Linked DNA regions of Oryzias latipes. The protein of the gene in region 2 purifies or fractionates together with the protein of the main gene of each other region. This does not show direct contact. Links are inferred from orthologs where the notes say so. Each region holds a gene or a part of one and is shown on either strand. Other genes may lie near its edges.

What was found.
Region 1: the proteins of ezh2 (region 2) and phf19 purify together in Homo sapiens (affinity purification with mass spectrometry; 10 studies listed by BioGRID and IntAct, counting the BioPlex papers as one, with this or other methods). This does not show direct contact. The link is inferred for Oryzias latipes from reciprocal best matches to the Homo sapiens genes EZH2 and PHF19.
Region 3: the proteins of ezh2 (region 2) and mtf2 purify together in Homo sapiens (affinity purification with mass spectrometry; 10 studies listed by BioGRID and IntAct, with this or other methods). This does not show direct contact. The link is inferred for Oryzias latipes from reciprocal best matches to the Homo sapiens genes EZH2 and MTF2.
Region 4: the proteins of ezh2 (region 2) and trip12 purify together in Homo sapiens (affinity purification with mass spectrometry; 3 studies listed by BioGRID, with this or other methods). This does not show direct contact. The link is inferred for Oryzias latipes from reciprocal best matches to the Homo sapiens genes EZH2 and TRIP12.
Region 5: the proteins of ezh2 (region 2) and PHD finger protein 1 purify together in Homo sapiens (affinity purification with mass spectrometry; 15 studies listed by BioGRID and IntAct, with this or other methods). This does not show direct contact. The link is inferred for Oryzias latipes from reciprocal best matches to the Homo sapiens genes EZH2 and PHF1.
Region 6: the proteins of ezh2 (region 2) and core histone macro-H2A.1 purify together in Homo sapiens (affinity purification with mass spectrometry; 3 studies listed by BioGRID and IntAct, with this or other methods). This does not show direct contact. The link is inferred for Oryzias latipes from reciprocal best matches to the Homo sapiens genes EZH2 and MACROH2A1.
Region 7: the proteins of ezh2 (region 2) and hmga1 purify together in Homo sapiens (affinity purification with mass spectrometry; 3 studies listed by BioGRID and IntAct, with this or other methods). This does not show direct contact. The link is inferred for Oryzias latipes from reciprocal best matches to the Homo sapiens genes EZH2 and HMGA1.

Annotation. Positions count from the first base shown.
Region 1 is NC_019867.2:31,490,816-31,494,829, forward strand, and holds the start of phf19 (PHD finger protein 19), read left to right. Parts: upstream 1-1,214; 5' UTR 1,215-1,429; intron 1,430-1,816; 5' UTR 1,817-1,817; coding exon 1,818-1,997; intron 1,998-2,085; coding exon 2,086-2,167; intron 2,168-4,014.
Region 2 is NC_019878.2:3,242,524-3,245,021, reverse strand, and holds the end of ezh2 (histone-lysine N-methyltransferase EZH2), read left to right. Parts: intron 1-275; coding exon 276-357; intron 358-424; coding exon 425-505; intron 506-579; coding exon 580-664; intron 665-857; coding exon 858-918; 3' UTR 919-1,998; downstream 1,999-2,498. UniProt on the Homo sapiens protein: Polycomb group (PcG) protein. Catalytic subunit of the PRC2/EED-EZH2 complex, which methylates 'Lys-9' (H3K9me) and 'Lys-27' (H3K27me) of histone H3, leading to transcriptional repression of the affected target gene.
Region 3 is NC_019875.2:5,988,268-5,991,767, reverse strand, and holds part of mtf2 (metal-response element-binding transcription factor 2), read right to left. Parts: coding exon 3,440-3,500; intron 3,373-3,439; coding exon 3,277-3,372; intron 1,375-3,276; coding exon 1,306-1,374; intron 102-1,305; coding exon 1-101. UniProt on the Homo sapiens protein: Polycomb group (PcG) protein that specifically binds histone H3 trimethylated at 'Lys-36' (H3K36me3) and recruits the PRC2 complex, thus enhancing PRC2 H3K27me3 methylation activity.
Region 4 is NC_019871.2:22,661,144-22,665,332, forward strand, and holds the start of trip12 (E3 ubiquitin-protein ligase TRIP12), read left to right. Parts: upstream 1-1,389; 5' UTR 1,390-1,517; intron 1,518-1,912; exon of another isoform or gene 1,913-2,003; intron 2,004-2,301; exon of another isoform or gene 2,302-2,531; intron 2,532-4,189. UniProt on the Homo sapiens protein: E3 ubiquitin-protein ligase involved in ubiquitin fusion degradation (UFD) pathway and regulation of DNA repair.
Region 5 is NC_019874.2:28,784,769-28,788,268, forward strand, and holds part of PHD finger protein 1, read left to right. Parts: intron 1-1,035; coding exon 1,036-1,103; intron 1,104-1,536; coding exon 1,537-1,668; intron 1,669-3,500. UniProt on the Homo sapiens protein: Polycomb group (PcG) that specifically binds histone H3 trimethylated at 'Lys-36' (H3K36me3) and recruits the PRC2 complex. Involved in DNA damage response and is recruited at double-strand breaks (DSBs).
Region 6 is NC_019872.2:3,504,713-3,508,212, forward strand, and holds part of core histone macro-H2A.1, read left to right. Parts: intron 1-1,814; coding exon 1,815-1,914; intron 1,915-3,162; coding exon of another isoform or gene 3,163-3,253; intron 3,254-3,500. UniProt on the Homo sapiens protein: Variant histone H2A which replaces conventional H2A in a subset of nucleosomes where it represses transcription. Nucleosomes wrap and compact DNA into chromatin, limiting DNA accessibility to the cellular machineries which require DNA as a template.
Region 7 is NC_019865.2:19,767,170-19,771,136, reverse strand, and holds the start of hmga1 (high mobility group protein HMG-I/HMG-Y), read left to right. Parts: upstream 1-1,167; 5' UTR 1,168-1,310; intron 1,311-1,379; exon of another isoform or gene 1,380-1,562; intron 1,563-2,023; exon of another isoform or gene 2,024-2,108; intron 2,109-2,302; 5' UTR 2,303-2,323; coding exon 2,324-2,422; intron 2,423-2,952; coding exon 2,953-3,033; intron 3,034-3,867; coding exon 3,868-3,924; intron 3,925-3,967. UniProt on the Homo sapiens protein: HMG-I/Y bind preferentially to the minor groove of A+T rich regions in double-stranded DNA. It is suggested that these proteins could function in nucleosome phasing and in the 3'-end processing of mRNA transcripts.

The DNA.
Region 1 (4,014 bases), on a different chromosome or scaffold from region 2:
AATTAAAGTAATTTTTTTTTCCTTCGTAATGAATTAAAATTCTTGAACTCTCATATGTCTAAATTTGAGCCGGCAGATCTTCATTTTTATAACAATAAAAAGAACAAAACAGTATAACCTGCAAGCTTTCATTCATTTAGAAATTTTCCAACATTATTAATATACCAGCTGACTGTAGGGGAGCTATATAAACTCATCATCCTCTCCCTCCCTCTCCCTCATGGTGCAGAGACCTGTGCAAAGTAGGTCAAAATAACTCGGCAAAACAGGGTAAAACACAGTAAAACAGCAAAACAACTAAACACATTTGGTCAAAAACCCACACTTAAACCCAAATCCGTCCAGACAGGCAAAGGGAATGGTATCCCACAATCCCTTGCAGTGCCGATCTAACAGCAGCACCAAAGTTACACCTACTTCATTGAATTAATTTGAATGAAAGTAAAATAACTGTCTGAAAACTACGTGTTATTTTTAAACTGACTTAACAAATAAAACGATTTTTAATTATCTTAACTGAAGCAAATAATTAAGTTAGATCAAAGTAAAAAAGTTTCTCTTTCCAACATCCATATGTGGTCTTATCACCCTCTCATGGTGGAAAAAGTATTATCTGAGCTTCTTCATCCACTAAATCATCTTCAAATGGACACGCCATGCTGCTTCACCTCTCTGAAAACAAACTAACCTTCAACTAAACCTGCTCCAGACCAGGTTATGTTCAGAGCATGAGTTGCCATGGCAACTTGACATACCCTGAAACATACCTCCATTTCTGGAACCGAAAGCTGAGGTTATCCACTTCCTTAGCCTCAAACTTACCGTGGGAGCTAGCAGAACCTGCTCTCTGGAATACCCCCCTGTTCTTTTTCTGCAATAACAAACATTTTGATCAAACTCGTTCCAGCATCATGTATGCGCAGGCGCGACAGAGAGAGGGGGGGCTCTTAAGGTATAAACCTGGACAGTATGACTGCTGCCAATTAAATATTGGCGGATCTGCTTCTTTGAGTTCTTGAAATTATACATCTATTCCTTAAATAAAACTTGTGCTCGCGCAGCCTCTTCCTAGACTCACAACGGCGCTCACCTCGATATTAAAATCAGTGAAACGTTGAAAGGGGCTCCGGCTGCAGCCGCGCAGCAGCGTCATGACGTCATCACGCACACGACGCTGGTAGAAAAAAAACCCATCCTCTGATTCGCGGGAAAATGAAAAAAATGGCGCCGGCGAGAGTTTGAAGCTCGGAGCCGCCAAACGGAGGCAGAGGGAGAGGAGAGGCACAGAAAACGAGGGACGGCGGGACACTGCTGCCGCGCCAGAGGTTCGGTATCCCCGTTCGTCCGTCCGTCGGGCTGTTACCGGGCCGAATCGGGCTCCGAGCTCCAAAGGACTGAGAAGGGCGTGATTGGATCCGCCAGAGAAGAGGTGAGAAGATGCCCTGCGTCCTTCAGCAGGTCTGGCCCGCCCGGCTCAGCCTGCAGGGGAACTGTCTGGCGTCAGCGTGCATTTATATATGCAGAACCGGTGCTGGTACCAAAACGTTTTAAACATTTAGTGATGCATGACCCGCCAGCATGCTTCGGGAGTTTTCCGTTAGTGTGAGCTGTCACGGATGTCAGGGTGCGGTAGTTTATGCGGTTGTAGGTCAGGTAAGGAAATTAGATGGGAGGATGCAGTGCGCATGCTCTGTGGTGTCAAAACCGCACAAACAGTTCAGGAATGAATCACAGCCACTAACGGCCTGTCTCTCTCTCTCTCTCTGTTCTAAACCAGCGTCTCTCTCCCTCTGTCTCTCCATCCATCTCTTTGCAGGATGTTTGAGGACTTGATCGAAGCTTTCTGCGGTCTGGAGCCTCAGGTGTCTCCTGGGGGCGAGGGGAGCCATAGTGGGACATTGGCAGAGGTGGAGGGGGCAGAGTCCAGTCTGAGTGTGGGGCAGTTTGTGCTTTGCCATTGGTCAGACGGACTGTACTACCTAGGAAAGATACAGAGGGTAAGGTTTGGCTGCAGACTCACCTGTCCGTGAACGCGGGGACTCTTCTGTTCTTATTGGCTGCTTTAAGCTTTTTACCTTCTGACAGGTGAGCCCCCCCAGACAGAGCTGCTTCGTCACATTTGAGGACAACTCCAAGTTCTGGGTCCTCTTGAAGGACATCCAGCATGGTGAGTCAGGCGGGCTCACCAAATGCTTGAAGCAGCCTCTAGATGCTCTCTGTGTGACTGAAGGATGTTTTCATTAGCGCCGCCACATTTAGAGATCATTTTCTGATTTATTTCTAAAGCGTTTGCAGTGGTCTTTTAATGCTGATGCTGCTGCTGTTTTTAGCCAAAATCGACGTTTTCTAAGACATAGTTTCTGCAGAGCGGCAGGAAATCATTAAAACTACCGGTACACGTCTTAACTGTGACTGTTGGTGCAGAGCAGCCCCGCCCCCCTTCCCCTCCCTCCCTGTTGCTGTCCAACAGGGAGGGCTGCATTTTTTTCTTCTTCTGGTTCACAGTGATGTGAAAGGAAAAATAAAATTCAAAAGTGCAATTTTGGGCTCAATTTTCTTTATAAATGTCATCCATCATCAGATAAAAATGCTCCAAGAAAATCTTAAAGGAGCCAAAAATACAGTTTTTCAACTGAGTGAGTCTTTAGTACGGTGGCCCTGAAGGGCAGATCACCTCACTCCACACAAAAAATGTCAAAATCACAACAATAACCATAGCAAAACAAATATTAAAAAACAGCATTACATTTGAGAAAATAAAACTAAATTTCAGAAACGTAAAAAATAAAAAACCTTTTAGAAAAACCAAAGTCATTTCCAGAAACGAGATAAAATGTTAGACAAATGAAACACATTAAGCTTAAGCGTAGGAACTCTGGGACGTCACTGATTGATTTATTTTTTCAAACGTGCCTTCAATGGCCCCACGCTTTTATGATTAGTATGGAGCATATCCAGAATCGCTCTATGCTAAATAACTTTGGGTTGAACAGACAGACAAATCCAATCAGCGATATCCCATAGTACATACCTTATCCAGTTTCTCCCTCGCCGCGTTTCCGTTAGGGCTGTGACGATAACCGCATCACCACGGTAATGAGATTATCACCGTGATCATCTCATCACCTTGTTGTTTTTTTTTTTGAAAGCTCTGCATATGGTGCGGGATTTGAACTATAATAAACACATTCATCTTTGCTGATAATTTGTTTTTTCTGTGAGTCCTGTGTTCAAACTTCAAGAGCTTCTGGGGGAATTTCTATTGTATTCATTTCCATTACAAGCTGCGTGCGTTCTTGAGTAGTGTGCGTCACGACCGCCTGCCAGAGGATTGTGTGTGTGTGTGTGTGTGTGTGTGTGTAGGGGAGGGGAAGCAAGAGTCCCGACACCGCGACTCCTGCTGCTTCATCACGGCGGTGATCAAAATCCCTCACTGTCACAGCTGTACTCCAGAGCAGGTTAATAAAGAATCAGTCACCGTTCTTCTGGGGGAAACCTTTCATTACTGTTCTCCTTCACTCCTAACACCAAGCATGAACGCGCGCACACCCCCAACACGCTTGTGCACTCTCACTCACTCTTTTGCTGCTCCGCTCCTTCCTCTTACACACGCAGCGCGCTGACACACACACACACACTCATTCTACAACACCTGTATACCTTAATTTCTGGACTATAGAGCGCACCTGGTTATAAGCACCATTACATTTTTAAAGGATAGAACATTTTGTACATACATAAGCCACACCTGTCTATAAGCCGCATGTGGCCACATTGAAACATGTGTTGTAGAATGAGGATGTTTGTGTGCTGAAACCACACGCGTGTGTAAGAAAGAGGGGGGAGCGCGTGCAGCAGAAGTGTGTTGGGGGTGTGCGTTCATGTTTGATATACAGAGTGAAGGAAAACTGTAATAACAGAAGATTCCCCTCCAGAAGAATGGTGAATGATTCTTTATTAACCCGCTCTGGAGGCTCTGAAGGTCCGAACAGGGAAGTGAACCCCGAAGGAAGA
Region 2 (2,498 bases):
TTTTCTGAGGATTTTTTTATTTGACAGAAAATCCAGTGCTAGATTAAATTACAGGGAAAAAGCCTTGTGTATAGGAAATCCTAAATTCATCTTCTTAACCGTTTTGTCCCTTTCGGGGTCGCGGGCGAAGGCAGGGGACATCCTGGACAGGTCGCCACAGATCACTCACCCATGCACCCTTAGGGGCAATTTAGAGGAACCAATGAACCAATGGAGCAAGGTTTTAAAACCATCATCACCTGCAGCACAGGCTGACCTCTGACCCCTGTCTGCAGATCATCTCGCAGGACGAGGCAGACCGCAGAGGGAAGGTCTACGACAAATACATGTGCAGCTTCCTCTTCAACCTCAATAACGGTGAGACGGGTCCCAGAGCAGCCAAAGGTCCAGTGCGGCTCCAGCCTTAAACCCTTTTTCTCTGCAGATTTCGTGGTTGATGCCACAAGGAAAGGAAACAAGATCCGCTTCGCCAACCACTCGGTCAACCCCAACTGCTATGCAAAGGGTAAGGGGGCGAGACTGTTAGCGACCGTCACTGGCTTCAGGCTCTTTTGTGAGGCCCTCTTCTGCTGTCTGCAGTGATGATGGTGAACGGGGATCACCGAATCGGCATCTTTGCCAAGAGAGCCATCCAGACCGGAGAGGAGCTCTTCTTTGACTACAGGTCAGTCCAACACCTCCAGTTCTCACCTGCAGCTCCACTATAATCGTTAGACACAAACAGATCAGCGTTTCCTGTTTTGGTGAGACGTAGTTTCAGAAGAACTTAGTCTTCCAAACATCAACCAGATGTGTCCTCGAGTTCCCGTCAGGTAAAGCTGGGAGACTGATGCTGTTTGTGGACGTCTTCTGTGCAGGTACAGCCAGGCGGACGCCCTGAAGTACGTGGGGATCGAGCGCGAGATGGAGATCGCCTGATCCCGACCTCTACCTCTGTGGCTCTGCAACACAAAGAAGGCCTTAACAACAAAGCAACACAATAACTTCAGGAAAACCAGGCTGCTTCTCCAAACTCCGCTCTTCAGGAAAACTGGGAATATTTGGACTCTGTGTTTCATCATTTTCCTCTTAAAACCCCTCTCCTCTGGGACTGCTGGACTGGTGAATGTTCCCTCCTGTGAGGCCTTGCCTCACGGCGTAAACATCCCCCAAATATTGGCACAGGAAAGACAAACTCCTCTTCAGGGACCGAAGTCCTCCAGCAGAACCGTTTGCCCTCTTTCTTCTTCTCAGATCCGGACCGACCTCCTTCAGGTGCTAGAACCAGCACACGCTCCAGCGCCGCTGCTCGTTCAAACCAAACAGGAGCTGAAGCAGTTCTGTCATGTTCCTCTGATGCTTTGATTGTCCATCTGTCCCCACATTGGTACTGACACTGCGTTCAGTTGGAATCAGATTATTGGTGCTGGTTCTCCGCTCTGGAACCAGATCCAGCAGGGGAAAAGAACCTGCTGGAGTGTAACAGATCGGAATCCTAAACTGATTCACATCAGGAGTCTGTTGATTGACAATCCAGTTTCTCTCCATCTTCCAGATGATGAAAGGTTTGATGGGAAAAAGCCGGCATGTCCCTGTCTGCTGTGCCTCGTCTCATGAACAATCACCGTGTCACCTGGACTCCACCCCCCCTCGGTGCTTAGACCAGCTCACTGCCTCTTCAAGATGTCAGCCGGGGGCTTCAGAGCATTCCTCTTCTCTGCTCTCTGGTGCTTGTAGACCCTCTGAACCCTGACCTCTCAGCAGCACCAGCTTCATTCTCCTGCTGAGAAACGTCTTTCTTCTTCTGCACCTGTAATTTATGGACTCGGTGGTGGGAGACTTCAGGGCTTCACGTGGTGCTTCTTCACCGGCAGGATTTCTGTGTTCCTCCTTTTCCTGTCCGGTTGGTTCTCCGTGATCGTTCTTCAGATTGGTTGTCCGGTCACATAGGTGCTGATTACTGTTTACAGGGATTTGTTTGTTCAAAGTGATGCAGAATAAAATATTGTGAAACGTTGAGATTCTGGCTTTTGCTGTTTCAAGGTCAAATGCTCCTGATGTGAAACTCGTCAGAGAAGGAAACGCAGTTTAGAGAAATCTGTTTTTATTTATCACACATTTAGAAAATGAACCACACTATACAAATGTCCACCGTTCAGTGATGAATCTGGCCTCCTGCATGAACCCATGTGAGATGTGGCCGCGGCGGCTGGATCCCGAGTGACTCCTGTCATCCTTGCGTTGTGGCGGTCACTGTGGTGCGGGTAGGCAGTAGCATGCAGAAACCTTTGGATGCGGCTCTCCTGACTGGCTGTAGACTACTTCATACATTTGCACTATATGCAGAGAAGGTTTTGTTTGTTCCTCTTTGAGTCTTTATTTACAATAAAAGGATGAAGCGAGCGAGTCGTACGGATGGAACGGGACAGGCGATCGCGCTGATGGAGGTTGGAGCTCCATCACTGCAGGGGGAGCAGTTCTTCGTCGGGTTGGTGGGTCTGTGTGGTCGCATGACTCAG
Region 3 (3,500 bases), on a different chromosome or scaffold from region 2:
AGTTGTCGTTGATGTACTCCAACAAGTGATTTTCAGAGTCAAAGTACTTCTTCTTGTGAATCACACTCATGTTGTACAAACTCAGGTGAGCCACATCCTTCCTGAAACATTTCCATAGAAACTTCTATTACAAATTAAATTACAACTACATTATTGAAGAAACTCAGGGAAACTGCCTTAATATGGCTGATTATCAGAGTTTACCACAGAAACAGAAAAAAATCAAATCACAACAGTCACAGACTCTGCAGGTTTTCCCTCAAAGGATGAGTTTGGTCTGAAATGTCAATCACAGAAACGCTCCCACTCTTAAAATGTAAAAAAAGAAATAAAACTGATTGATTTTTAATGAACTTATTTGTATAATAAAGCAGAACAGAAGTATTTATCTTAATTCTGTTTCTTCTTCTGTGAGAAGCTCTTCTATCCTCCACTGTTTACCTGCATCAATGTCACCTGTTCAAACTCCTTATCAGAATCAGACGCCTGTCCACAGCCTAAACCAGTCAGAGTGTAACCCTCCACCATGACCAAGACCAAAGAGCTGTCAGAGAACACCAGGGAAAGACTTTAGGGTACCATGCTCTTTTGTTTCATGCTAAGTGGGCCAGATGACTGACCCGGGTTAAGGAAAGACTGAATGAGGTCATGGAGGATGAAGCCTGTCTGGGTCTTCCAGCAGGAAATAACCCCAAACACACGGCCCGGGCAGTGAAGGAGCGGCTACATAGAAAGCATCTCAAGGTTCTGGAGAGTTCTAGCCAGTCTCTGGACTTCAGTCCAAAAGAGGAACCGTGGAGGGAGTTCCAATTCATGTTGCCTAGCAACAGCCTACAAAAGATCTGCAAGACAGGACGGGGTTTGCAGAATCAGAGTTTGCGTCGCTGTATGCTGGCATTCATTTTAGGCGGGATAACTGATTACTGGGCAAAAGACTGAGATGGTGATTTGATTTCAATGCTCTTCTAACTGCCAGGTTTAACCGAATAATGATGGAACTTTATGAAAATCCCACATTTTAAACAGAATAGGCAATTTTATTCTGAAAATATTAGAATCCGTTGTTCAAAAGACAACCGATGGATGGATGTGACGAATCAATGCCGCACTTTCCAAGTAAATCTGAAACCAAGAAAAGGGGTCAATAAGGTCGTGGAGGTGGGCGGAGTTAAGTGCTCCCAAAAGGAAATCAGTGTTTTTAATCCCAGCAACTAAAAACATGCAGACAGATTTGTTACTGCAGAGTTTGAGGACGAACACCCCCTCCCTCAATGAGGACGCGTGACGGCTTCCGGACAAACTCACCAGCTGAGCGGCAGCCGGCTCACAAACTCTGGTCCACCGTTGCAGACTGAACAGATGAACAAATAAAACCTGGAGGGAAAAAGAACCAAACAAACAGCATTACGGTAGTTGGCATGAAAATGTTTTCTAAAAAAAGTCAAGTTTTCTTTATTAAAAAAAAACAGTTCAAATGTTTTTATGTGGCATGTCAACAGACTGCTTTGGTTAACTAGTACATGCTTCATTAAAACCCCTTGTGCTGTCTTGTGGGGTCCAGATGACCTCCGAGGGACTTTAACATTGGGAGTTGGGTCATCTGGACCCCACCAGGCTGAACCTTTTTTCTTCAATGATTTGTGATCTTCACTGGTGTCCATGGATTACATGAAATCTTTCCACCTTTATCCACCTTTGTCATGGTAGCGAGAACATGTCAATGTAAGGGTGGGGTCATTTGGACCCCACAAGATAGCACAAGGGTTAAAAAGACAAAATTAACATTTGCATATGAAAAAATGTACACAAAAGAAAATATTCCTGTGAGTAGAAGAAGAAGAGAGAATGCTTGGAGTGTGCAAAGCAGTAATCAAAGCAAAAGGTGGCTACTATGAAGAACCTACAATATGACATATTTTCAGTTGTTTCACACTTTTTTCTTTTGTATATTATTCCACATGTGTTCATTCATAGTTTTGATGCCTACTGTGTGACTCTACAATTTTCATAGTCATAAAAATAAAGAAAACTCTTTGAATGAGAAGGTGTGTCCAAACTTTTGGTCTGTACTGTATATGAATATCAAGTTGTTGTATATTGACGTTAGTTATAAAGAACTGTATTACCCAGCATGCATGAATACCCAGCATGCTAGGCGAGTAGTCACATGTTGGTGCACAGTGCAGAGCTAGGAAGCTGATTAGAGACGGATTGCTTTGCACAGTGTAGTAGTTGGAAAGAGACTGTTCAATAGAAAGTCTGAAGAACACGGCTACAGCGCCTCTCTTTGCTGACTGAACGAGGCGAGCTAAATGAGCTAGATACCTACTAAACGTAACTTTACATAGTGTTAGACAAAAAGCCTTAGATCCAGATTTCCCGTATTGGTTCGGGTAATGCTGTTGCGTCATTTCTTGTGTATGTAGTGTGAGCCCTGTCGGCCACCGTATTATTGTAATCAGATTACTGTATTTTCCCCAAGTACAAGTTGCACTGGAGTGTAAGTCACAGGGTCAAATAAAAGATAGTAAGGAAAATAAACATATTCGAGCCGATCCGGAGTATAAATCACGAGAAATGCTGCGCTCACACCCAGCGTGATCGGGTTTGATTCGCATCAAATGCGAGTTTGCTGCCTTTTTCTACGCACGTCAAGTCACCTATGCTGCCGTCCAAAAACGCGTTCATAAACCAGACAGTCCCGCCACATGTGGGAGAAGCTACTGTCGAGTTTTTAGCCTCATAGCAACATGGACGCATCGACTGAATGTCTCGTTTACACACGGGTGACATCCAGAGATCACTTAAGGTGAAGAGCCACGTCTCCATGTCTGAATTCATGACTTCTTTCCATCTTTAACTTCTGCCGAGTCATAGCAATTCCAGCCGTTCCTCCGTGTTTCTCTAACCTGGTTTGATGACTTGCCGTCCCAAACGAGTTCGTGGAGGGAAAAATAAAAACTCACTTAACAGCATTTGATGCAAAAGTAAAGTTCAGGAGAACGATCAGATTGATTTTGATTGATGGTGTTGGACGGCGCTTCTTCTGTAGTAAATACTGACAATACTGAGTTTGATTAGGACTTCTGCGGCTTTCATGGAAGCTAACAAACCAGGTGTTACCCAGCAAGTCATTTCATCCATTAACTAACTGAGTGTGAAGCTGTGCACCCATCTGTTACTGAAGCACCGCTGGTTCTGGTTCTGGAGCTGTGCTCCTCCAGGAGAGAATCAAACCAACAGTTGAAGTGATGATGCTTGCAGAAAGGACAGTACCTGTCACCGTAGAGCATGGGCATAGGTAAACAATGGAGACAGGCTTCATGGAACCACTGCTGACACTGTTTGCACTGCAGCATCTTCAGGTACCAGCTGCACAGACAGAACACACGCTCAGCATCTCCTGAGGCAGAACCGTGCTCTGTGGAGGCTCACTCACTCTCCCGGATCGCCGCAGTAGCAGTAACACTGCTGGAGGTTAGTCTTGTGGCCCTGGTCCC
Region 4 (4,189 bases), on a different chromosome or scaffold from region 2:
CAGTGGTTATGTACAGAAGCTATGTATGTATATGTATATATACACGCATGCACGCACGCACGCACGCACGCACGCACGCACGCACGCACACACACACACACACACACACACACCCCCACACACCCACACACCCACACACACACACACACACACACACTTCTGGGACTTCCAGATCCAGACTGATAGGATGGTAATGGCAAACCAACCAGACATTGTAGAGGTGGATAAAGAACAGAGCAAAGCCGTTGTGGTGGATGAAACATCAGGAAGAAGGAACATGAGAAACTGGAGAAATACCAGGGACTCAGAGAAGAACTGGAGAAAGCCTGGAAAGTGAAGGTGATAGTGGTGCCTGTGGTAATTGGAGCACTCGGGGCAGTAACCCCCAAGCTGGAGGAGTGGCTACAACAGATACCTGGAAAGACCTCAGACCTCTCAGTCCAGAAAAGCTCAGTGCTAGGAACAGCTAAGATACCACAAGACCCTCAAGCTCCCAGGCCTCTGGTAGAGGACCCGAGCTTGTGTGAGAAACCACCCGCGAAAAGGTTGAGAGAGGTGTTTTTTTTAATATATATAGCTGTTTCGCTTGCATTTTGAAGCATTTCCCACTGCTTGCCACTTAATAGTTTTCAATTTTTGAACTGGTGACTTCAACACTTTTTTTTCATTCTGTAGTAATATAAATTAGATATTTATATTTTGAACATTTTCCGATATTGCACATTAAGTAAAAGACTTTACACTTGGATAATTGCAATAAAACAGAGTGGTGATTGTTTTGAAATTGCATATCATCTGTGTGCATTTAGTTCAAAGCTGGAATACATTTACCTAAATCTATATGCTATATATAATTGAATGAATGATTATTGATATTGGTGAGGTTATTGATTTATATGTTATTTTTAAAATGTTAAAAAATGCAATAAAATTTGTTATTTTGAAACGTATTTTATGCACAAATAAGCTACATCATCTCTATAATAATTTATTAAAAATAGATTTCATGAAATCAATAACAAATTCAATTGTAAATAAAAATGCAACAACTACCCAAAAAGGACACAATAATTAAACTTTGAGAAGATTAGCACAAATCTAACCACAAAACTAAGATTTAAATAATAATGCCATTGTTTGGTATTATCATTTAAGTGTAAGAAACCAGGAGAAAGATTATATAATACACCAAATTTATTTACTATTTAATGTTTGGGTATTAGGGGAAAGAAATAATAATGACTACTTTTATATGACACTGATGTACATACAAAAAAAAATAATAAGCCCGCTCTTCAAATACAAACATGTTTTTATTCTACATCGAATCAATACTCTAGATGGATTTTAAAAAACGTTCAAACAAAACAAATTTAGAAGGAAGTAGTCCCTGAGCGGATGAATTAGGCGGATGTATACTGCAGTTGTAGGCCGCTCAGCTGATGTGAAGCTGCTAGGTAGAGAGAAAAGAGGAGCTGTTGCCCTGTCTGTTACAACTACAACACTGGAACAAATAGGTAACAACATTCGGTCAAATGTTGAATTTGACAACATTGACATCTCGACCAACAGTATTTGTAGATTTTCAGGTTATACCGTATCACCTCATTTCGGAAGACTGGTGATTCAGTTCTGCGTAATGTCTCGATTCCCGTTCCTGCTTTCCTGTTTTTTGTGTGTGTCTAAAATCTATCAGAGGCCATTTCTTTCTGGTGTTTGTGTGCTAACTGCTAGCTGCATGAAAAATCTTAAATAGAAACGGCCAATGGGGCGTTCAGTGCGTTCGGGTTGGGATACATTAAAGGTGAAGTTGTTTTTGAAAATCTAGGTTTCGGTGCCGTCCTGTCGAGCTGGCAAAGCGCTAGCCAAGAAGTGACAACAAGGCGAGCTAATATTGATTAGCATTTTTTTTTCTTTTTTGCTGTAACGCTCTTCTTGTTTGATTTAACGTCGCTGTACGTAACCTGCGTGACTGCCTTCAATAGCGAGTTCCTATTGATAAGGTTTGTAGTTGTTTAGTTGACTAGCAGGCCTAGCTATATATTTAGTTGCCAACTGTTTTACGTTTTTTCCTCATCTTGTTAAAGTCTTTTAAGAAAAAAAAAAGATTATTTCGTTAAGCTAGCATTAGCTTGCTAATCATTAACTAGCCTCGGACTCGGTGCTTGTCAGTTTGACCAATATATACGTAACGTTACGTGGATAAAACGATTAGCTTTCTTTGTACTTGTTGAAGTCTAAACATAAAAAAAACGTGCTCTTTGTTGGCACGCAATGACTATACAGTTTGGTTTAGCTGGTGTTGGCTAATTCCGTCGACACCGCCGCAGTGAGTGAGTGAGTTCAAGCCGTTGGCCTGAAGTCAGCTTAGGAAACATCGGGTAATCGTTACATTTGACCAATCTTGGCTAACCTTGGTCTTGAAATTGCTTTCTCGATATTAGCTTGTTTGTCTCGTCGTCTCCTACTTTTGACATTGCGGTATTTCGGGGGATTTGGTCTCCCCTCCCCAAGCAAACGTTACAGAGAAGGTGAGAGCATTTGTGTGCGTGATGTGCCTCATTTTGTTTTCCTTAAAACTTGTCAGCCATGCTCGTATCAAGGCTCGGATACGAACTTGGCGTTTTTTTAGTTGATGATTCGAGCTTTTGTTTTATTAAAAATACAGCCAGGGCTGCCTTTTATTCTCCCCCCTCCCCCGGCGTGTCGCTAGTTAGCCACAATTATTGGTCATTTTGGAGATCCTCCTTTGCGGTATAGTTTGAACTGCTAAGTACAACAAACAAGGGGAAAAACGACAACAAGCAGTTGTCGTCGTTTCTCTGGCATTTAATTACATGTCTACATAGGTTGACATACCGGTACGCCAACTACGCAGTTCAGTACAACCAGTGCTACATTAGCAAGTGTCACTGTTTTCACTGATGCAGCAGTTTGACCTATTAGTTATTTTATTGACATCCCAGTTTTTATTTTCTAAATATATTTGACCTTTTTATGTTGGATTTCCTTCATAAAACGAGGATGGAGTAACTGCTGTCAAAATGTGTGGTACTTGCTAGTGGCTAAATGCTAACGACAGTCGATGGTGTCAGAAAACTACGTCAGAAATATAGGCCTCTGTTGATCGTGGGTTCAAAAAAAGCTGGACATTTGGATGTCAGTTGGTTTACACCATGAAACGGATTAAAAACTCTGTCATTTAGTACCTTTTAGCAAATCCCAACCACACACGAGTACATTGTGACTTAGAATGGTCGAGTAACAAAGGCTGGGATGTGCAGGCCTGACATGGCCCTGGGATTTTGAGGTGTTACGTATTTATCTGTTTAATATTCACAAAATCGTCAGGTTGAGTTTAAAACCAAAATCTGTTCATTTGATTTAGTTTATTTTCCATTCAGGAGAAAGTATGTAGGTTATGCACGTTTCTGCTTATCATAAATTCAAGCTGTTCAGCTTTTTATGTTCACATTGTTTTGTTTTTTAAATTATGTATCTGCACCCTCATTTATTAAAATGTGCACTTTCCAGATCCACATGATTAGACATGGTTAAAAAGCCAAAGGCTAGTCTTCACCTGTGTAAAAAAAACAAAGAAACAGACATAGATACAACATATTTATAGAAAAACTTACTATACAATGGATACAATACAACATCCCATTTCACATTTAATCACAGCATCAAAACAAGATTTTCTTGTAGTGTTGGCAGCTGTAGGTCTTCATAAGCCACATATTCAATTTGAGATTTTGCATCTTAACAGTTTTTATTAAAAGAAAATACTTGTTTTCTAATTTACAGGGATACTTAAAGATGTTTAAAGGGTTCTTAAAATAGTATTTTTATTAGTAGAGTCTGGTATATAAATATATATTTTAAAATAATTCTGAATACATTTTAGACAACTATTTGCCCTTAAAGGATAAATTTGGTTATACAAGTGCTTAAACCTTAAAGAAAATTTAATGTTGAGGCCCTTAAGCGTTTCCAGTAAGATAACTGAAATACTGATTTTAATGTCATGAGACTCTATTGCAAAAACCAAATCAAATAGTAAACCATGTTGGTTTTATGTGCATCAGAAATTCATTTGACTCATTTAAAACAGTTTAGATTAAACATAGATGAATAAAATGAAGGCTTCCTTAATTTAAAGTTTTATTTTCTTAACTGTAGGTTTTAT
Region 5 (3,500 bases), on a different chromosome or scaffold from region 2:
GACTTATCAAATTAAAAATTTAACAGTAATAAACATCAATGCGACATTGTAACCTGATCAAAAATAATCCATTTTTTTTAAACCAAATCACAATTTCTTAGGTAAATGTAATTATTTTAAAATTTTAAAACCTTCTCAATATTTTTTTCAGAGATAAAAACTGGAGTTCGCTTCTACTTGCAAACGTAATTCACACATAAAACAACCCGAAAAGAGCTTTTTGAAGTTTCTTATTCAGCTTTTTGGTCTTAAAGATCATAATATATATATACATGTATATATTTATTTACAATTAATTTAAGTTTGTGATTTTTATAAAAAAGAATTTCCAACTAAACCAATCTAAAGTAGGACATGCATTTCTCTTCCTCTTTGGAACACATTAAATTAGCTAAGAATTCATTCTAGCCATTCAAAAAAGAGTCATTTTAAACGTTTTATTTTACTTTTTGATCTTGAAGTTTCGGTTTTATCAAACAATACTTATCTTTTTTTTGCAGCCTTTGATTTTCTAGTTTCTAGTTTAAGATTTTTGTTTAGAAATGTTTGTTTTCATCATAGTAAATAACAACATTCGTTATATATCTGCGCCCTGGTATAATATAAATATATAATTGGTTCAGATGTTATCTCTCATTTTAGTTTGATCTGTTTTTGTGTCATACCTTTATTTTTTACCCTTTACAAATGGATTTTATTTTGTTTCATTTAGATCTTTTAGCATTTTTTCTTTAACTTTTTCTTTCTCTTACATTTAATTATTTAAATCAGTCTTTAGCTTGAAACAGGCTTTTTTAAGAATAAACTTTCTAACATCTCTTGGTAATAGCTAGTGATAAATTAATTTTCTTGGAGGCCAGATTTTTTTGTGATTGCCACTTTTGGTTCCGTCATTCAGAAACCATTTAAAAAAAATTCAGATGAGTCGAGTTATCTCTCCTTTTTCAGTAACTCATCAAATTGTCCAAATCGTTGATACATATCATCATTATAAAAAAAGATCTGCAGGCATTTTAATCCTTTTCTGTTTTTCAGCTGTCTGACACACCAAGACAGGACCGTTTCCACAATCTGCTTAACGCTCTCAACTCCCACAAGGACAGGTAGGTTGTATCAAATGGAGAGAGAAATACCTGCTAGGTTCTGTTTTAGACATGTAGGTTCAAATAAGGGAGAAATGGAGCAGAAATAGTTCAAATGAGCCACTTTCTGTTTTAGTAGCAAACACAAGTTGTTGGTAATACACCAATAAAACCCGTAAAGTGATTGCTGTAAGTCGATTTTCATTAAAATGTGTATTTTGTAGTCAATAAAAACAACATATTTCTCCAGGCTTTAAACATCTGCTTTAATTGTGCTCCAGTTAATTATAGTCTCTACCTTGAAGTGTTTGTGCGCCTCTCATCAGGGCAGCACCTACTTTGTGTTACATTGCAGAAGAATCACTATTAGTTTTTAAAGAGGGGTTATTGAAAAAAGGACACTTGCGATGATGCAACCTAATGCGATGATGCAACCTAATGCCCTGTCGTCTAGGTTTGTCTCTGGAAAAGAGATCAAGAAGAAAAAGTGTCTTTTCGGGCTGCAGGTCCGAGCCCCACCTCCGCTGACATCGGATACGTCGCCCCTCATTACAGACCCGCCTGTCAGTATCACGCATCGGAAAAGGTTGGTAAATCCAGCCCGTCTCATTTGGAGCAGGGTGAGCCCCGCGGACGTCTAAAATGTATTTTTGAAACTGCTGACATCATCATAATTATAAACACTGTTCATGAGGTCAGTTGGCAAATTCTGTTCAAAAATGTGATCAATGTCTGGCAATAGCAATCAATTTTTGGCTTGAGTCAAATAACTAAAAGTGAGTCTTTCTTTTTGGCTGTGAGGAACTCTGACTCCACAACGGGATGTTTCTTGGAGATGCAAAAAAAGAAAAACCCTGCCCTGATTTGGGCTCCTGTTTTCACAGAATCCTGCTGACTCAAATATAGATTAGGATCGGCTTAAGTGATTAAATAACAACATGGTTAATTTGAGAACAGTTTTAAACTCAAAATCAATCAAGCATATAAAAAATGTTGGGTACCAAACTTTCAAGAGGGCATTATTACCACTGTTCGCCACATTAGAGGAGGGAAGACACAGGCGTTCCAGTTTTCAATATTTCCTTCAAGTTCACAATGTGTACTTTCAAGTTTAAATCCGTCCATCTTCTTCCACTTATCCGGGACCGGTTCGCGGGGGCAGTAGTCTAACCAAAGATGCCCAGACTTCCCTCATGCCACTTCCTCCAGCTCCTCTGGGAGGGACCCCGAGACGTTCCCAGGCCAGCTGAGAGACATTAGCCATGGTTACATGTGCAAAACATCGTAGTCAGATCAATGGTCGGATTAGAATTTAACTGTGTACATGGACCCAGAAAATCATTTTCCGATCAGAACAAACGTTTACATTCGCAGCACTTTTGGTTGGAATAAATCATTCGCACATGCGCAGTTCTGTTTAAAATACCGGAAGACTAAACGAGTCCCGCTGTAAACAGGCTGAGCTGCCACATGCATATACAGTATGTAGCAGTATATATATATATATATATATATACAAGACGATCTTCTAAACGTGCTTTTGTTAATGTAATAGGTATTATGAAGCACCTGTTCACTCATCATTTTATTTTTAATCTGTGTGGTCAGTGCTTTCTTAGTGGCAGAACGAAGCTGGACGTATGGTTACGAGAATGCTAACATGCGCTAACAACAACATTTAGCCTGGATGAACATAAAATCCATGCGGGAAATGCCGCAATCAGCATCTTGGCTGCACGTAAACATGTTGGAATAACATCGGCCTTTATTTTGTCGGGACACAACTGGAAACACAAATCCACGTGATTGTTTGAACGGTTTTCTAAGGACTGAGCTACACTTCTGCTTTGAAAAGCTCACACACTGCCCCAAACCCGCTGTGTGGGCTGGAGGCCTGAGCTCTGCTTGGAGACGGGAGACATGGTTCTCCTGAATTCGGCTGCTCGTTCACCTACAGATCGCAGTCCGAAGTCTCCCACACGTAACAAAGCATCCTCCCCTCAAACACAAAACTATGAGTCCGGCTGCTCTGCTCAGAGACACGGTTCGCTCCGTCCAAGGGCAGCTGCGCCCAGACCGCGCAGTGTCTGGACAAGCACAAAGCGCTCCTTTCCGGCGCCCCCCTCGCGAAGATAGGAAGGGAGAGGCAAGGAGCCCACAGAGCGAGGGCGGAGCGCAGAGGCGTCTGCGCTTTGCACCCGGCGTCCACGGAGCAGCCGGTCGGTCCTGTTTGAGCTCCAAAGCTTTTTCTGGATCGAAACATCCGTCTATGAATGACGTTAAACCAGAGCAGTAGGGACCCTTTCTCTAAGGGAACGCCCTGCCACCCTACAGAGGAAGTTCCTTTTAGCCGCTTGTGTTGAACTGGTATGCAAACCGTGCTCTTGCTCCAATTATTCAGAGACCGGATGGCCCTCA
Region 6 (3,500 bases), on a different chromosome or scaffold from region 2:
CCACCATGTCACCAAGGAAGACTGTATTTGACACAGTTAACCAATCTAATGTCCACACTACTAATTAGAAAACAGTTCTAGCAGACGATTTGAACATTTATTCTTCGTTTTTGTGAGATACTGTCCAAAAATTGTAATTTTGTCTTAAGTTGTACATTTTTGAAGTCTGTATCTGTGATGGTTACGACCTGAGTGAGTTCTCTCTTTCAGTCCTGCTGAAGCTCTTAAGCAGAATTTGAATCTGTTAAATAAATAGTATGGAGTTTAACTGAGCCATGTCATTTTACAGGCCATGCCTGGACATTTACTTTTGTCTGTGAGATGAATCAAATGCAGCATGTGATACTTAAAGATGCTGTGGACTGTTTTCTGCATCAGAAAACCGATTTAAAAACGTGATAAATGCAGCAACAGAAGCTGCACAAAATGCCAAACAAATACTTTGATTGCTGAGTGTATTCACATGACCTAAAAGCGATTTGGCTACATTTAGTGGCATCAGCAGAGCTGGACGTGTTTAACAGAAAACTCGCTCATTGTTTGAATGTTTCTGCAGCAGCGAATGCGTCACAGTCTGATCAGTAATTACTCTCTTACTAACAAAGATCATAGAAGAACCACTGATGTCACTCTAAGTTATTTTAGGGAACTCTTTTGGGAGCTTCCTCCCAGAAAACCTTTTCAGTTTCATGCTGTTTTCTATCTTCACTTCTTCTTGTTTTCAGTTCTCTGCACTTTAGCGCCTCTCTTAAGGCCAGAGTGATTCTAGCTGGTGAATTCTGAATTCTCTGTGATGAATTTTAAACAGTGAGATGCTCACTGACATCATATTTTAGAGGGATACCTTTTCCTGCTTCTGCGTTACAAAACTATCACGTTCACGCCTCGCCATGCAAGTTTCCACGACTAGCGCACAAAACAAACTAGATCTAACTTTGACCAATCGGAGACTCGGATTTGGTAGAGGCGTATGGATGACGTCCCCTTTAAATAACGGAAGTGCCAACATTTGAAAATTGATCATGGACATTTGTGGTTTGTGTGCAGCTGGATTCATAACAATAATAATGGATTGGATTTATCTTCCAGTGTGTCCATTTTTCATTCATACTTGCTGATGGTAACTACTGATGCAGCCTCAGCTGTCCTGGGGCAGACTGACAGACTGCCAGTTCATGCCTACAGCCCCTCTGACCATCACCGGGACATTCATGCACATTCAACCACCAGTGGAGCTACTCTGGAGGCAATTGAAGTGTCTTGCCCAAGGACACAAGGACAGTTGACTGGGGGGAGCGGGGTTCGCACTGCTGACCCTTGACCATTGGACGCCCTGCTCAACCGCCTGAGCCACTGCCGCCCATGTCTTTCATAAATCAGACAAGAATTGAAAGTAAGAAAAAATCCTGGAGCAAGATCCACCAGATTTGGACCGCTTTGACATTTCGCACCAAGCCTCTCCCAACTGTTCACGCACTAGTAAACACTAAAAAAAGAAAAGAAGAAGAATCCCCTCCCTGTTTGTCCAGTGTGAACACTGTGGGCTAAGAAAGCCTGGTCTGTTTGTAACTTTATATTTAGATTTTATTATACTATGAAAAATGTTTATTATTTTATGTCTGACCTGAAGTAGGTAATACGTTTTTCAACCACACCGCTTTGAATTTCAACTATTGCTCCAAGATTGATCCAGAAGCTAAAGGTATCCCTCTAATCTACAGAGAATCCGGTTTTAATGGCTCTGCTTCCTCACCTCTTCCTTCTTTGCTCCATTCCCTCTTCTGCATGCCTGCTCCTCCTTCCCCCTTTTACAGCTCAACCTTATCCACAGCGAGGTCAGTAACTTAGCTGGCTTTGACGTGGAGGGGGTCATCAACCCCACCAATGCTGAACTTGAGCTTAAAGACGACCTAGGTGAGCTCCCCAAGCCCTCAACCCGCCCCCCGGCCTCAGCGGGCTTTGACATGTGAAATCCTTGAAGGTTGTAGCTGAACATCACCTCCTGTAGTAGAGCGACCTGCAGGGGTTCGTGTTTTTTCCCACGGTGGCATGGCCCCCCCATTTAGACAGTTTCTATTAAAGTTGGTCAACAGAATTTGAAATTAGACACTATAGCTCTAAAGCAAATGACTGTGTGCTTATGCAGAAAAAAAAAAAAAAAGGTTTCAAGGTTTGTTTTGGAAATCAGGAAATCTAATTAAAATATACAAGTAGACTCAATATACATTTATGCTTAATTTTTTTTCTAATCCACGAGTTAAAATGTCCCTAGAAATCCTTTCTGCCATGCGGCTGCTGATGTGTTTTTACCCTGACCTTTGTCATCCATGCAGCAGTTCCTCCTAAATGAGTAAGAACACGTCAGGTTCTATAGAGCATCCAACTCCCCGCAAACAAGATGTTTAAGTGGAGAAATTCTGGCTTTCATTTTTCAGTTACAAGTAAAACGAGAGACGTATCAAGTCATTAAGCATTACTCCTTCTTTTGCTAAATAAATGAATTTGATCGCTCGCCTCTTCTAATGACAAGAAAAATCCTGACAGTGTGAAGAGAAATGAGACTATTTGGTTTCATCCGACATAAAACAGCTGAACTCTCTTTGTCTTGTCTGAGATGAAGAGCAGAAAGCAACTAATCAATAAAAAAGGAAAAGAAGTCTTGTTCCTCTGAGAGGAAAAGAACTTTCAAGGATCTCCTGAAAGCCGTTGGAAGCAGCTCGCTTCCTCTTGTGTGCAGACCTGCGGCGGTTCTTTTCAGGTTTTCATCCTTACAGCTGGCTGCCCAACGGCTGCGATGCCAGAGTTTTTATCCAAATGATGAAGATGGATGAGTGTAAACTGGATGTTAGTCACTGAGGGCAGCCTGGTGGATGGATCTGTCACCTGGAACCGAATCATTAGGTTTAGGAAGCAGGACGACAGCTGTCACATTGATTTTTCTAGAAAAGAAAAAGGAAATGTTTTAAAGAGGAAATTCCACCTGTCTTGCTTCCTAATTCCTAAAACTCCACCTTCCATTGCCTCATCCTTGTCTTCTGTGATCTTCTTAGCCACTCTTCCTCCCCTTCTGCTCTTCCTCATACTTTCTCATGTGGTGCTCCTGGTCATTCACTGTGTTTTACCACCATGTTGTTGCCTGTTGTTTGTCGTTGTCGCCTGTAGTTGCAAGTTGTCCAAGCCGACATCTCCATCGTGGAGAGCGATGCTGTCATTCACCCGACCAACTCCTCCCTCCACACAGGTGGTGAAGTAGGTAAAGAACCACCGACACCGTGGAGACTGCAGCTGCCTGTCTGCTCCTCGTCTGCGCAGCCACAGAGTCGGTGCTGCCGTCTGCGGACAAACGCCACAGCAGCAGCACTTCACTCGCTTACGACCAGGGATTTGTGAAAGGAGTTGAAGCTAAAGCTAAAGCTAGCACTGCAAACTCTGTTCAAACGTTGGTGCAGAAGCGATGGACGACATCTCCTGAGAAAATGGAGTTGCTGAGACTTGAAACA
Region 7 (3,967 bases), on a different chromosome or scaffold from region 2:
AAATAAGAATTTTCAGGAATCGCAGTTAATATTTCACATTGGGTTTTCTAGTAAATTTCAAAGCAAAAAACGAAAGGTATAAGCTGCAAAGATTTTGCACAGTACCAGGTACAATGTTCTTGTGATTTAAACATTAAACACATTTTTACATTATGTGTGTGTGTGTTTCTTTAAAGTTGTATCTTACAATAGCACGCTTTTATAAAATGTTCACATTAGTCCATAAAACTCTGTTTGTATTTGAAGTTTTCATACAATACAAGAAAGTTTATTCACTACAGAAAATAAGACAGAAAAAAATGTGTTTAAAAATCATGCAAAAGTCCAAAACTAACATGTAAGTTAGTAAAAGTTATGGAAATTATTCTAATTATTTATTTTTTAAATGTTAAATCCAAAAGAAACACTTATGGCAATCGATTTTGTTATAACAAATCCACATTTCTTTTGGTATTATTAAAGCTTAAAAAGCTATGTAAATAGTTTTTTTTTTCAAACTATTATAGTACAAAAATATTATAGCAATTTATATTTATTAATTTTGTTTAAAGCTGCTTAAACTAAAGTAACTGGACAGTTTTACACCTAAGAACAGATGAATGGATGTATGTGCCTCTGTAACACAAGAGAACACAATGTTCCAGCAGGGAATCAAACCAGCAGCTAATGAGTCAGCAGCCTTTTTGCAGCCAACTTCATCTGAATATATGTTTAAAAAATTAACTTCAGCTCCAATTAGTGTGCATTTATTTGATATTTTTGAGAGGGGTGTTTGTACGTTTTAGGTTCTTATTTGACAGTTTGAAATGAAATTTCTGGGACTATAAGCAGGAGAGCTGAATGCTCCTAGTATAAAGGAGGCATGTGTTTACATTGGGGGAGGTCATAGTTCATTCACCATTACAGTGGAGACTGGAATGCAGACCTACTGTTCAGCAAAAGGACAAAATACTAAACACCACATATTATATTTGAACATTGAAAATGTACTTTCCGTCAGTTTTATTTTATGTGAAAAGTTCCTTCCGATACTTTCCAACATGTGTTTTGCGTTTTCAAACCGAATCAAGAAAATGTAAAGAATCCGCGCCATAAGGAGTGGTTGGGTGGAGGGGGGCTGAGCTTCTGTGGTACTGTTGGTGGCCCCATTTATCATATCTCCGCCCTCCAGTGTTCCTGCTCCCATGAGGGCGGCTCTTTAAATTGGCCAAAAATCTCCTCCTGGCTCGCGCCTTTTTTCTTTATCTTCACGAGACCAGACGCACGTGCTACATTCAGGACACCGTTGGAATAATCTTCTTGTTTTGCTGGTAAACTATATTTATTTACATATAAGCAGTTGTTTGGATGAAATGTTGATTTTTTTTTTCTTCAATTCAAAGCGGGTTTTTTTTCTTTTGTCGGCCGCGTGAGCAGGGTTTTTTAAATGGGGCGGGCTGTGCGTTGTCTGACGAAAAAAAGCTCCAGCCTATAGATCGTTGCAAGGTTTTTGAACCGGTTCGGCCAGGCTTCAGGGGCATTTCTGAACAAAATTAAGGACGGGGAAAGCGGACTAGTAACAGGTAAGCGCTGATTAATCCGGCGTGAACCGAATGTAGTCGGTTAGCTTCAAGCAAATTACTACATTTAAGCTAGCTTACAGGACGCCGCATTCTTTGAACGTGAAGATGTCTTTTGGCCTGCCTTCCAGTCGCCTTAAATTTACCGTCATGTTTTGTAAAATATCAGGGATTTTTTTAATTTTTATTTTTAATTATAGGGGGGACCCTAAAAGTCGCGCGCATGTAGCCGATGCTTAGCCTTCAAATGCAAACGAGCACATAGCAGCCATTGTGTTCTCGGTGGCCCCTGCGTGCAGACCTGCTGTGAGATGGATTCGTGCACAGGCCCGACCATTGGTCACAACAGCTCCAGGCAGGACGGGCCCCTAATATGTTTGGTTCGGGAACGGTGCAACGGGTTCAGTAGTGTCCCCCCGCCCTCCTCCCCTTTTTTCCTCCCACCGCCCCTCGAGTCTGTGCATTAACATGCGATCGCCTTCGTTGTCTGGTTCTGTGTAGCACGGTGCTGTGTAATGGAGCGCGGATGAGACGGAAATAGACCTGGAAGTAAGCGCGGATTAATTGAGTTAAACCGGGTTCGTGTGTTTGGCGACGGTCGGATTTTATTTGAATATGTTAGTTTTAAATGCGGTCATTGGCTTTAGCGGGTTAGACGCTTTGTGTTGTGCGTGAACTCGACGCCTCGTCCTCCTCCTGCTGCTGCTGCAACAGCGCCAAATCTGTGGACTCTCTCCTCGTAGGTTCCAAGAGCTAAAGTAAGCATGAGCGACAAGGGAACCGTCTCGCCGAAAGAGAAAGAGGCGGCAGAGAAGAGAGGGCGTGGAAGACCCCGTAAGCAGCCCCAGGTAAAGACGACTGACGTAAGTAAACGCACATTTTACACCCCCTTCTCGTTTCGTATAGGCGTGCATGCTGTGGATCTGTAATTGTGCATGTGTTGCACCGGGAGAGTGAAGTGCTCCATGCATGCCCTAAAATCCAAGTAGAGGCCCGCAACTTGCAACCCCCCCACCACCATTTCAAAGCAACCTGTAACCCTACACCTTTAAACCGGTTTAACCCCCCACCCCCCTCCCCCCCATCCTCTCGCCCACCTATGTGCTCCATGTAATGGATGACATAGCCCAGTCCAAGCAGAGTGGCTCATAGACCTGTCAGTCAGTCTGCTGTGGTTTACTACTGAGTTGCCTGGTTGCTAAGAGCAGCAGCTGTAAACAAGCTACAAATGCAACAGAAGGCAAGTCAGCCACGACACCATCCAACCACAAATTACGCATGAATACGATTACTCGCCTCCTGTTGATTATTGGTGATGCCAGTCTCCCAATAAGAAGAAAAAAAACGCACTGCAATAAAACTTGAATTAACTCTGGGTCGCTTTGATCACCAGGAGCCCAGTGGATCCCCGACTCCAAAGAGGCCCAGAGGACGACCAAAGGGCAGCAAAAACAAGACCGGCGGCAAGGGCAAAGTAAGTTGACATACAATGTGAAGGAGCAGAATTTCCAACACATCCATTGCCCCCTGCATCCATTTGGTTTAGCAGCGCAGCAGCTGCTGACCACATACTCTTAAAGGACGTTGAGCTGTCATTTGTGACATTTAGTGTCTTCTTCCCCTCTTGTCACTAATGGCATAGTTATGGTTTCCCCATTGTAAAAACCCACTGGTTTAGTGCCTTACTTTTTGAGGTGTGTGTGTGTGTGATGGTGGTGGTGGTGGTGGTGGGGGGGGGTGTCATCCTGTCCTCCAGCTTCCTGCAGAGTGCAGGCAGTGCAGGTGCAGAGGCTGCAATACTGTTTCCAAGTTGACACTTAGCCCCCCCACCCCCCACCAGTACACAGCCCTAGTTCTTCTCTCTGCCTGTCGTCTCCATAGCAACATCAGATTTTTCTCCCTCGCCCCAACCCTCCAGCTCCCCCGTGTGCTCAGCCCATGTTTTTAATGCATGGGAAAAGGGAGAGCGGCAGACAGAGTTTGGGACAGGCGTGCACGCGGCACGATCGCTTTAGCAGCAGCGCCTGCTCTGCAGAGAGGGCTTCTGGGTCTTCGCTCGATTTCACCAGCTGTCTCTGAGCCTCAGACCAGGTGGCCTGCGAACTGGAGTGCCCCGTATGCAGTTCCTGTAGGCCATCCAGATAATAGCCAATGAACCCAATGCCCCCTCCCCTCCTGTCATTGTTAAAGTGTGACTGCCATCTACAGGCAGTTTAGGGCACTGTCACTCTCTCAAATAAAAAAAAATGCAGATGGCCGAAGCCTCTTCACTGCAGAATGTCTGACCTTGTGTCCCTTTTGTTCACAGAAGGCAGCGGCAGCTCAATCTTCAGCGGGGAAACGCAGAGGAAGACCCAAGAAAGAGGTAAGAGTTGCCCTTAAAACAGTGCAACAGTGTGCTAAAAACA